Drosophila melanogaster: one gene and its partner. Changing the gene in region 2 together with the main gene of any one other region gives a genetic interaction. Each region holds a gene or a part of one and is shown on either strand. Other genes may lie near its edges.

The links.
Region 1: of Cdc7 (region 2) and chif, changing one enhances a phenotype caused by changing the other (phenotypic enhancement), as found in Drosophila melanogaster (one study listed by BioGRID).

What each region holds. Positions count from the first base shown.
Region 1 is NT_033779.5:16,349,517-16,354,643, forward strand, and holds the start of chif (chiffon), read right to left. Parts: upstream 3,113-5,127; 5' UTR 2,511-3,112; coding exon of another isoform or gene 2,411-2,510; intron 768-2,410; exon of another isoform or gene 471-767; intron 1-470. Other genes in the region: Hyls1 centriolar and ciliogenesis associated, read right to left, coding at 2,411-2,510; CG4455 (uncharacterized protein), read left to right, coding at 3,579-3,618, 3,697-4,037. UniProt on the Drosophila melanogaster protein: A bicistronic gene producing two proteins that are components of different complexes and have separate properties and functions.
Region 2 is NC_004354.4:6,652,903-6,660,501, reverse strand, and holds Cdc7 (Cdc7 kinase), read right to left. Parts: upstream 5,962-7,599; 5' UTR 5,606-5,961; intron 5,443-5,605; 5' UTR 5,353-5,442; coding exon 5,022-5,352; intron 4,953-5,021; coding exon 4,730-4,952; intron 2,896-4,729; coding exon 1,347-2,895; 3' UTR 793-1,346; downstream 1-792. Other genes in the region: CG3226 (uncharacterized protein), read left to right, coding at 6,342-6,356, 6,422-6,594, 6,772-7,276. UniProt on the Drosophila melanogaster protein: Catalytic component of the Dbf4-dependent kinase (DDK) complex. Phosphorylates components of the pre-replication complex, including Mcm2 and, to a lesser extent, Mcm4. Phosphorylates histones, including H3 and H2B.

The DNA of each region.
Region 1 (5,127 bases), on a different chromosome or scaffold from region 2:
AAACGCCATTAATTAAAATTTATTTTGAAGAGCTGAGCTACAGTCGAATTTTAACAAATTAAAGCTTTGGCAATATTCTACCAAATTCACAAAGTACAAAATAACTGTATGCTTTATGTAGAGTTAAATTTAATGAAACTTAAGATTTTACCATTGCACTCAAAAATAAATTTAAAAATCAGACCATAAAAATGATTATTTACAAAAAAAAAAAAATTGAACTTAAGTAATATTAATTTCCAACTTATTACATCCAAATACGTTGTACATGTTCTTATAAAATGTTTCAGTAACACAAATATTTAAAAACATTTTATTAAAAACAAGAACCACTCCTATAAAGTTTCCCTCCAATTTTAGTTGGAACAAAGTTATACCAGTCTAAAGCTGTAGTTATAACCATTGATATAATTGGTTTAGTTTTTAATTTTTATTCAAAATTCGACCGTAGCTGGAAATCCAACACCAACCGCGTTTTAAACTTGTTTGCCACGAAAAATGATATAAAAACAAATAAATCACTGTGGGGGAAATCCTACTCCCGGTGGTTCTTCTTCCTCTTGTTCCTTGTACGTTTCCCGATGTGTGTTATGCAATGTTGCATTCGGATACACACAAATCAAATCAATAACTGCACTTGGATGCATTTCGGTATGTATTGCCTAAAAGGCCATCGAGTGTTAAGTGTGAGTTAATTTATTTTAATTCCAAACTAAATGGAACACAGAAACACGACCCAAGCGGGTGGAAGAAGAAGAAGCAGCAGCTGTGCTGCAGCATAGCGCTGCCAGGTCGGGGGGCTACGCTTAGCGAGGCGTTGCCAGCACGCGAAAAAATTAGGGGTGACACAGCTGCAACATAATTGTACTGTATTGTTGCATTTGATTAAAAACCAGTTATATTTACAAAACAGGCACGAAAAAACAAATGTGGAAGAATAGCGATTCAAGAAAAAAAACAGTTGGTGATGACACTTATTCTTAATCACTCATACTAACCTCGGCTTGTATATAAGCTCTATTTAATAAATTGTACTTTCTTTATTTATACTATTATTATTTAATTTTATAAAGTCAACCCTAACAAATATAATTATGCATCTTATCGTTGTATTTCTTGCTAATTTGCGCAATATGGCTTATCACATTCCATTCATATTTGTTGTTTTGGTTTTTTACGTCTCCCAAAAAAACAATGCGAATGAGCTGACAAAGCCATAATGGCCGATGACCGATATTAAACTCATAATGACAATTAGTCCGGCAACCCTGCCGTTCACAGTACTAACACATTCGTAAATACTTGCAAATAAATTGTATGCCTAGCCAATATGCACTGACGCGCGTCAATATATATATAACCTGAAAAACGAGCACATCAGCGCTGCGCTGGCACTTTTTCTGCCCTCGCTTTATATTTGCCATTACAAAACGAAACGTTGGCGCAAAGAGAAACGAAAGAAACCCTAGTGGCAACCCTCAAGCGGTAGCAGTAGCAACAACAACTAAGGAAAAATAAGAAAAAGAGTAGGAGCACACAAGGAGTAAAGCGAAAAATAACACGAAAAACGCACAAAACACAAAAAGAGAGTGGAGGGAAAAAAACAACACACACACACAATTCATACAGTTGCGGTGGAAATTATAGCACTTTCAATTTAAAATAACCGAAATAGACATTTTAATGAGTGTAATGAGTTTTGTGCATTAGGTAAATAAAATATATTCCGTAAGACAATTTTTCTATTAATATTACAAATTCAAATTGCACATCGACATTTCCCTAACGCTTTACCCGCTGCTGTATGCGTACATATGTATGTTTGTGGATAAAATTCATGTGAAGTTGCGGATGAAGCTTACAATGTGGTGGAGGCCGAAACACACGAGCAAACGCAGAAAAGCAGGCCCAGGGCAGCAGCAACAACAACTATGACTAGCAAGCCAAGTACAAAAAACACACAGAACAGTGGGGTCACAAGAGCCGTGTGTTTAGGATTTCCACTGAAATGTATTTATGCCACAGTACGTGAACCTTGCCAAAGCAGTTTTCCTTCGATGTCGGGCCGGCCTTTATTCGATTATTCCTAAATTTTTGGTCCGAATGAATTTTGTTGCTGCAAACCACTGTGCCATGGGTATGTATAGTGTGTTATTCACAATTTCCAAGTAATACTCGTTTTTATATTTTCTTTTTTCCATTGCTCCGTATTTCTGCCTGTGCCGCTGCTCTTTTTCTTGTCTGTGCTTTGTACGCACGTTCGTTTTGGAAATAAAAACAAATTGAAATGGTGACGAATCGTTTGAAATTCAGTTTGAAAAGCCGCAACCAAAAAAAATTGTGCATACAAAATAACAAACCAAAAACAATCCCACACACACACGCACGCACACTTGTACGGATTGCTTACCTTTTAGAAATTCACGGAGTTGCTCGGCTGATATGTTCCTATAGCCCAAATCATTTAGATACTGGAGAATGGCCCGTGCATCTAGTGGCAAATGTGACATTTTACTTTTCGCCAAGTAGAGCAATCGTTCTTGATATTCGTATTGTTAATTATTTTTTGTTTATATTCCACCCTCACACATACACACGCGCGCGCACTCGAGCACATACAAACACACACACGAATGCAAAATCGCCGTTCGTTTGGTTTCTCTTTCTCGTTTGTTTCGTTCGCTTCTTCTTCCTTTTGTTCGTATTCGTCTTCGTGCGCCGACAATCGACCAATTTTCACTGTACTTTTGCTCTGCGTTGGCCGTTTTTGAGTTTATACTTGCATTTACTTGCGTCAAGTTAATCAGTTGCAATGACTAAATATACACAACTGTATGGGAACGATCGGTATAAGCGTCTATATGCCTTCGTTCGCCCGTCGTTCGTTTGCTAACGCCTTTGTTATTTTTATGCCTTTTATCAGGTTTTCGCGGTCGGATGGTCGCCAATTCGATTGTGCACGCACAGTTCGAGTGTCGAAATTGGGCCTTTTCTTATTTTCACATATTTCCTCGCTAGTTTTATAACAATTTTCACCAATTGAAAATAAAGTGTACACGGACAGGGCAGCGCACACACGCTCGGCAACCAAATTTTCGTCGTGTTATCGATAACTATGTTGGCTGGCGATGGTCGATGGTTGCTAAGCGGCGTGACTGAGTCGCGGTCACATATCGTTTTAAGGGAAAAAGTCACGGATTAGCAGTTTTAAAAAAGGTCTAGTTTAATATTGATTCGTTTTTCGTGACGAGAGACATTAATTATTCATTGAATTTATTTATTTCATTTAAAAATATACACTAACGTACTTACAATTTTGTTAACATGAATCTATGATATATACCATAAATTTAAAATTTGTAATTGCGATTTGAAACATCGACAGCGATGGCTATCTTCATGTATCGATAGGCAACGACAGTCCGTCCCTACCAGCAACGCGAAAGGTTTTTGTCTTGCTTTCTTGTTGCTTTGTGTGATTCTCGAGTCTCTGTTCTGCGTCTGCGTCCCGTTCTCGTGCCAACGAACTGATTTCGCCCCGCGTTCGTGCTCAATCGTAAATTCGAAATAAATTAAAAATGTCTCGCAGTTCGTACCTGTTGTGTGTGCTGTTTTTAGGTGAGCGAAAGAGAGGGAGAAGAAATGAAGAAATCGCCTCGCGATCAGATTTTACGGATACGCATCTCGTTATTGCAGGCGCCAGCTGCTTGGTTTTCAGTGCGAGTGCAGCGCGGAACAATCGAAGGGGTTACAAGGCCACGGAACCGCCCACCACCACCCAGCCCCCGCAGACGGCCAAGGAGTATCTGGATAGTCGACCCGGAATCTCCACATTCGGCATCATCGCCATCATCTTCACCGTAATCGTTCTCTGCCTCGTCTTCTACTACGGCATCATTTGCTACCCCTTACTCTGTCGCGATGACAAGAAATATCGGTTTATGGACGTATCTTCAACCATTACTGCCGCCACATCGCGCTCCATTCAATCCATAGAGAACTATCCCGACCAGAAACACCATCATACGTTGGCCTGATTCGGGGTGTGGACACCTGGAGGATAGTGGTTTAGTAGTACTTCAATTTAGTAACGCGAAAAAGACTTAAATGCCAGCCAGAAACGAAAACCCATTAGTATGACTACAGATTTAGGTCCTAAGTTTTAAAAAGAAATATCTCGAATTTTATCTCTATATACCCTTCGCATTACTGGAAAGTAATTACTTTTTTAACATATTCGAAGTTCCGAAATGCTCTGAAAGAATTTTCCCATATTTTGACCGAATTTCGTAACAAAGCAGTACTACACATAGCAATAACCAGTTGAGGAGTTCGCTGGAAAGGGAATTAATCATTCATAATTGTAAATTGGGTTTCCTACGCATCCCCGACTGTTTCTTTATCTGTTGTTTCTCTTAATCCCGGGCTCAACAAGTTTGGCCTGTCCTCTGGCCCTTTTTCCTTGTCCCTCCTGCATCTTTGGCCTTTTTTTATTTCTTTTAATGCAGGTAGTTTTAGCCGTTTACTCACCGCTTTGTTCTCTGTTCATTTTTTTTGTGGGACAGAGCCAAATTGTGGCAATTGAGTCACGTTGCCTGGTTGTTTCTTTCGAAATCCAAGGGAATTTAGCGATCTTTTTTATACCGTCTTCACGCAACCCAATTTGCATTAAGAATCCGAATCGTACTAACAGACGAACTCTTCGTGATGCCTCGAATTTTGCACTACATTTTAAAACGCCGATTCCCGTCCCTTTATATACACAGGTTGTACTTAAATCGAAACCAAGTACTTAATAATTGTACCATGCCAATCATAGTTTAAGCGCCAATCTGCCGCCACGAATACATTTAAGAAATCTTCAGTTTGTGCATTTAGACCAGCATGAGTATCCTTCTATATATTGTGTCAAAAAAAACGTTTTTAGACGTTATATAGCATTAAGTCTATCAAAGTTTATATACAAATCTTTTTGGACATTTTTATGTGAGTTTTACATAAAATAAATGGTTTTACCTCACCCAACGGTAAAATTCTCACACATTTTATTGGAATTTGGGGTGGTAATGAACTAATTCTTCTGTATTCTATATTAAATTCATTGATTTACAATAACTTTATATTTAT
Region 2 (7,599 bases):
CGAAAGATCAACAAGCTTCTAAACAACAAGCAGTTCAACGCTTCCAAGCGGCAAAGCTTTATTTACCGTTCTTTTGATTTCTCTCCTGCAGCTCAAAAGTTCAAGTTCTCTCCGCAAGCGGTCACTTTCTTCGTCCGTGAGCAGCGGTAAACACAAAATGCGATGGCTGACGCGCTTTAAAATTAAAATTAAATAAATATCAGCGTCGTTTGCTGTCGAAAAGTGCTACAAAGTGTAATTAACCAGTGAGCGCAGGTCGACGCAATGCGTTTGATACGGTATTTCTAGTTTAAACGGGTGAAATTGGTAAATTTCTGCAATTTCCTCATTCTCCTTTGGGCTCATTCTCCGTTGGCGCGTGTGTGGGTGTGTTGGTGCGTGTTCAACTGGCATTCTCATGTGCACTTAAGAGTATGCTACGTTTTAGAGCGGTGATCTTGTGCATTTTGCCATCGCGAGTGTTTTGTTGTGAAATGGCTCATCAAAATGTGAGAGTATTTGTGTTTTTTTTTATATTTTTTTTTAGGTGATTTGTGCTCAATAAATGTGAAATTAAATAATGTACAACTTTAATTGCATGGATTTATTTTGAAAAGGGTGAGTCATTTAAATTTACACTTTAATTTTATGAGTCCTATATTTGCAACTGAAATATAATGAATAATTTAACGTACGGTAACAACAATATGCGTACTAAAATCCCCAAGCATTTGTTTGTTTAAGCAAATAAAGAATAATTTGCACAAATTTCCATTTTTGGAGCAAAGAAAATCAAGGCCTTCATTCAATCTTCACGGTATAAATATATGTATTTGTCGCTCTTATATCCTCGTTCACATGGTTTTCAGATATACAATAATTATACCTAAGTAGGTTAGCTACAAGACTATTCGAACTATACATGATGGGGATAGTGCAAAATTCTTTGCCACTGGGCGATGAGGGCCATGCACTTGGGTCGCCTTCGTGTTCCTTAATATACAACATTTTGTAGCCTTTCGGCCACAATATTTCATAATCAATCTCTCCTCGTTTGCTTTTTTGGTATTCCTTGCCCATTTTGTTCATGATTGAAACATTTCTTTAAATATACATTTGTATGTTTGTTTGTGAGTGTTGTGTGTGTTTGTTGCGTGGTTTCATTTGGTTTTATCTGCCTGCGGCTTGAGGTAAGTAAATGTGGCCTAGTGGGGCATTGGACGAGTTTCTTCTGGCTCTGGGTGCAATAATGAGATATGCTCTTGAGGTGGGTCTATATATATGTACAATCATGATCAGCGAACTGGGTATAGTATATGTATGTATGTACAAGTGGTGTATGTATGTTTGCATGGTGGGGACTAGTTTCACAGCTTGTTAATGGCCGCTTGCTGCAGATCAAGGGCAACCTGCTGCTTGACCTGCTCCTGTGAGGCGGCCACCGTTCTGTGACTTTGATATCTTTGTCGACGCATCTTGCGCGGCGTTCCATTGGCCAACTGATCCTGCTCCGTCTGCTCGGCCTCCTCGGCGGCCGTAAAGAATGGATGCTTTAGTGCCTCTTCGGCGGTAATTCGTTTATGGGGATTAATCTCGAGCAGGCGATCCAGTAGGTCATAGGCGCTGGGTGGAAAACATTCGTATGCGTCCAGTGGCTCTGTCAAGTAATCGCTATCCTCGCATAGGCAGTTGAAGAAGTATTGATCACAATTCCGGCACACTTCGCAGCTTCCGTCCACAGATTCGTAGCTCTTGAGGAGCTTGGCATCACTAAAAACGGAACGATAGCGAAAGCGCAGGCACAACTTTCGCAGATTCAGTGGCCTGGACCTCTGGCTCAGGGTGATCATACGGTCGAGAGCCAAGGCCGTCTTCCGTATCGCCTGATCTCCAAATATTGTTACAATCTCGGCCAGCGCGATAAAATCGTTGGGCGCTTTGAAAAACGGATACACCGTTGACATGATCGAAAGGAATATCACACCCGCCGCCCAAACGTCCACGGCAGTGGTCTGATCTGGGTACTTGAGCAGAACCTCGGGCGGCCGATAGCCAGGTGTTCCTGCCCTGGAGGCGTGCACCTCCTTCTTCATCAGACAGTTGAGGCAAACTGAGGGATTTGCAAAGCAAACGCACTTGGCATTATTAGCCGCTGCTGCCGAGACATTTCGATTCGTATTGTACTTGCTGCCAGATGGCGTCGATGCTGTTTGATCCATCTGCGCCAGTTGTGGCTGTCGTTGTGGGTGCTGCTGTTGCGACTGCTGCTGCGGCTGCTGCTGCTGTTGCGACTGTTGTTGCTGCTGCTGTTGTTGCTGCTGCTGTTGCGGCTGCAGTTGTTGCTGCTCTTGCTGCACTAGCTGTGGCTGGACGTGATTGGACCCATCTACTGACTGCTCCGGCGCATCGCTTGGCGCAATATCGTTGACCGGTTTCAGGGGCATCTTGTTGGACTCCTCGTGCAAACGCATACGCTTCACTGCTCCACCCAAACCAGCATCCAGCGCAATTTGCTGCACATCCCCCTTTGATTCGCGCTCTCGTGGCCGTTTGCTATTATTATTGTTATTATTGTTGTTGTTTTTGTTGTTGGCTGCGGCGATGGCGGCGGCACTTCCGGAAGATCGCGCAGCCGGAGGATTCACATGCTGGGCCAGACCGAAATCGACGAGGAGAAACTCTCGCCGACGTCGATTGTAGAGAAAGTTGCTCGGCTTCACGTCGCGATGGATGACATCGAACTTGTGGACATGACGCAGTGCCACCAGGAGATTGCGCATATACTGCCGGATCTCGGGCACATCCATGCGCGTGTAAAAGTCCTGGAATCGGTCATGTGCCATGAAGGGCATCACGAAAGCGGCGGAGGCGTCATAACGCATGCAACAGTGGATGCCCACCACGTTCTCCTTTCCCCTGAGAAGCGAATTAGAGCGGGAAAACAATAGATTAGTTATGCAGTTATAGTTTGAATACGCAGCTTTTGGCTGTAATTCCCAACCAGTGATTTGAGCAACAGGTGTCCACCAACCCTGATTAACTTTAAGGGTAGTTAATGTGATTAAGCTAGTCACACATCAAATTAATTGAACTGAACAGCAGGATTTATGCAAGTCAGCTTTACCATCTTGTTTATGTTGCTTTGTTGTTCCGTGTGGGAAAACCACAACAACAACAGAGACGCCCACGCACACTTCCGCCCACTCCATTTCAGTGAGAGAAAGAGAGAGACAGAGGGAGAGAGGAATGGAAAGGGAGAGTGATTCTTCGACGTCACGTAGAACCAGTGCGGACCTGATTTCTAGCTATTTTTAGCTGAATATTTGTGACATATATGGAATATACAACGTACAACCTAATTTGACAGTTTTTACTACTGTTTATAATAGTATAAGTTATTTACATATATATTTCCATTACTTAAAATGTCTGCGTGGAATGTTGATTTCGGTGTAACTTAGAAACAGTTGATTTGATTAGCTACTTTCTAGCTAGTCGCGCAGCTCGACGGTGAGCGATGGGCGATACGGCAGATGCGATTTGCGAACTGGGCGCTGGGCCTTCGGGTGCGGAACATGGCAAGCGGCATATGTGAATACGTGAGGGAGCACTCGGCATGGCCCAGTCATAATTATCATCGGCTGTGACGCAATTGGGTCTGCGGAATTTGCGCAAATTGCTTGAATAGACACAAAATCGCAGCGGGCAGTGGGTCTACGAGGGGCAAAGATGTTGGGCGGTGGGCGATGGGTAATCAGGGGGCGGGCAGCCGGCTTATGTCAAACACGCAACGTCGCCCACACACACACACACACACACACACACACAAAATACCCACTGACCGCCCACTCTCTCCTCTTTCTAATTTTCTAATTTGGGGTAAATTATACAGCCGGACGATGAGCTGACCGGCGACGATACCTGCCAACCCAAAACTCCTCCGGTTCGAGGCGGTATTGAACCGATTTGCCCATCTAATACGAGTAGCTAATCTAATCACCTGGCCATTGCTCTGGGCAATCGATAACCGGCGGCTGGGATTGCAGGATATGCTACAACAGTCTGAATTGAAAACCACGCATGTGTGATGTGCGCGGGCTGTAAACAAACGTTACAGCTGCCACACGGAAAGAAATTTTGGATATATATTGTATAGATTAGCTAATATGGCATTTTGATATGCGAAAATGGTTTAATGTATTGAGCAGAGGTGAGTCTCGAACTCGAACTCGAACTTCCTATTTATTTATAATTTCTTTGGAACTTATCATATCACAGCGATATCGAACTCTTTTCTTTTCTCTCTGTGCACTGGCAGATGCGATTTTGCATAAACAAATGCGAAATGTATTCAGATCTAACATATTTCGGATATAAAAGTGATGTGAAATGCGTAAATGAATGCAGAGAAAGGTGGCGAATTTTTCTCGCTGTGCACCGTGGGCTTCAATGTAACTGTAAATGGGCACGTGAATGGCGTGTGAAAGTGCAATAAACGAACGCTACAACAATCATGCCATCTCGCTTGCCGTTCGTGCGGCGAAATATAAATTGCAATGACGTAGATGGAGCCGCTGCCGGCGGCTGACGTCGTTTAACGGCGTTTGACGCAGACGAGGGGACGAAGCGGCGTGCGTGGGTGGGGTGGGTGGTTGGTTGTTTGGTTTACAACCAGTCGGGCGATACTATAAGGATACGGGAGGGCAAAGGACACAGGACACCAAGTGGGGAAACGAAATGAGGAACCTACCCCATTTTGGTCATGCACTGCAACTCCTTCATTATCCTATCCGGATGACTGGTTGGTATGTGATGCTTGATGGCGAACTTGCGACGCAGACTGTCCGGCAGATGCGATTCCCGGCGCAGTGTGCCCAGCAGCACCGTGCTAAAGGTTCCGTTGCCAATCCGGCTGTGAACATCGAACAGCTTGCCAATGTCCGGGATTCGTGTGAGGAGATCATTGATGGCTTCTGCAGCAAAATACAACCAATTAAATTCATCTGTATGCACTAACAAGTTGGATCAGCAACTGAACTTACCTTCGCTTTTGTTGCGTGCCTGTTTGGTTGTACGCGGCGTGGCGGGCAGACCCATGACTGCAGCTCCATTGAATTCCACTGTCTGCTCCTCGGTGGCGCCCGCAGTGGCGAATGCTCTGCCCGAATGCCTGCCCGCGCTTCCAGTTGCCGGAGTGCCGGTGGCATATTGCTGAACGGTCTGGCGCGGCAGCCTTTGGGTTTGCCTTGGCGCCGCACGCCAGGATCCGCCACCATTGGCGTACACCACATTGGTGCTGGGCACTCCCGTTTTGGGGCGACGATAGTGACTGCCTGGTGTGGCCAACTCCTGGCACATAACTCGATCGGCCATTGTTCCTCAGGAGCACAATCTTCTTGGGCATCGGCGTATTGATGGTGCTTGTGGTGGTTTTATGGCGGTTTTTACAGAAAAAAAAAGTGCCTAAAAAGAGCAAATTTTGACACGGAATTTTTTTTATTAAAAAATTTCTGTTCTCGGCCAGGCCAAAGTGTAAAGCAAAGTGTTTCCGAACGGTTGAACAGTTTTGACATTTGCCGTATGGACGAGCGGCAGCAGTAACTGAGATGACAACTCCTCTACTCACTTGGATAGTTTTTGTTTCCAATCCGGAGTCCTGCTGCGCCGCCCTTTTAATCCCGGAACTCTGGCTGTGGCGCAGCGTCCGTTGGTTGTATGTGGATACCCTGGATGGAGCACATGAACAACTCTGGTCACTGGTCGTATTGTCTGAATCGTGTGTTCTGGTCGGCGTTCCGCGGGAGCTGAGGTGCTATCAAACCATCGATGGCGCTACTGATAATATCGATGGTTCAGTTCCAGCCGGTTCGATGCCATCGATGGTTTTTTCGAGATTATGGATCAGTGTGCTCGCCGTCCGCCGGGGATGTAATACCAAAATTGCTTGTGTGCTGCCTCCAACTGGTCACCCTGGTTTGGCGGGAAAATCGCTTTTCCGGCGGAAGTAGAAGTTTATAACAAAAATCATATCAATTAATAATGGATCATGATTTACTAGTCATCTGCCCATTCTTGGATTCAAATATCACGTATTTCTAATTTGACATTAGTAAGCTCTAAAACAAAACAACCCTTTGTCGTAGTAATATATACATTTAATAATTAAATGTAACATTTTGTGCACCAAAGCTGGCACTTGATATACTGAAAATACCGTGAAATAGTATTTTTCGCAGTGTGCTCCGTGCTCGCCACGCGTTAATCGTTTTTTAGTACATTCACCACGGGCGCCGGCGTCATTGAATTGCTCGAAATTTCTGCGAACCTACAAAATTAATCAACTGTTATTCAGACAAAACAAAATGTCATTGGAACAGGTAAGTCCGAGTTGTTGAAAAACGAGCCATCAGTGAAATAACCCCACACCCATCGAATAACACAGCTGAAAAGCGATGTGGCCGAGCTGGCGGCCTTCCTGCAGCAGGCGAAAGGTGCCCGCGTAAAAGACGTGCTGACCACCGCTAAAGCGGAGGCGGAACGGGAGATTGTCAATCTGGAGTTGAAGGCCAAAATTGCGGCAGAGCGACAGGCCACCGGGTCGAGCGAAGCCAAGAGGTGAGCAAATCCATGAGGTCCAAGAAACCCAACACCCAATCGACCGAAACACAAAATCTCTTCGGGATTAGTCCATATCCCAAATGTAGTTCCACATCTTTCTACATCACTATATATGGGCAGAGATTTCTTAAACCATGCAAGCCCCACTAATGAATCCCCATTTCGATCGCCCAGATATCTGCACGAGCTGACCGACTACGGCTGGGACCAGAGCGCCAAGTTCGTGAAGCTCTTCATCACCTTGAACGGAGTGCAGGGCTGCACGGAGGAGAATGTGACAGTCACCTACACACCTAACTCGTTGCAGCTCCATGTGCGCGATCTTCAGGGCAAGGACTTTGGGCTGACCGTAAACAATCTGCTGCACAGTATCGATGTGGAGAAGAGCTACCGAAAGATCAAGACCGACATGGTGGCCATCTATCTGCAGAAGGTTGAGGACAAGCACTGGGATGTGCTCACCGCTATCCAGAAGCGTTTGAAGCAAAAGAAGGACAGCGAATTGTCCAAAGATGGCGACAATCCCGAATCGGCGCTTGTTAACATCATGAAGAAGATGTACAACGACGGTGACTCCAAGACGAAGCAGATGATCGCCAAAGCTTGGACCGAGAGTCAGGATAAGGCGAAGCTTGGCAAGGAGACGGGCGGCGGATTGGATTCTTTCGACGATCTTTAGATATGATAATAACCACACCCATTCGCGAATTAGCTAACTACCTAAGGCACTGCTTCGATTCCAGCACAATTTGTATATGTGGATAAATAAACTCCCAGCTAGGGCATTAAGTTAAAACGAGTGGTGTTTGTTCTTTTTTTTTTTTTTTTTTTTTTTTTTTTTTTGGCTTTTTATATATATATTTGTATATAGGCTTTTATTTAATTAATTAAATTCTTGTGATTAAAATCAATTATGCTGCTCGTCGCTTAGAGTACACCCTTGCGGTCTAATCTATTCCATTTGTAATAGTTAGTTTGCTTTCGAAATGAATTGATAATTAC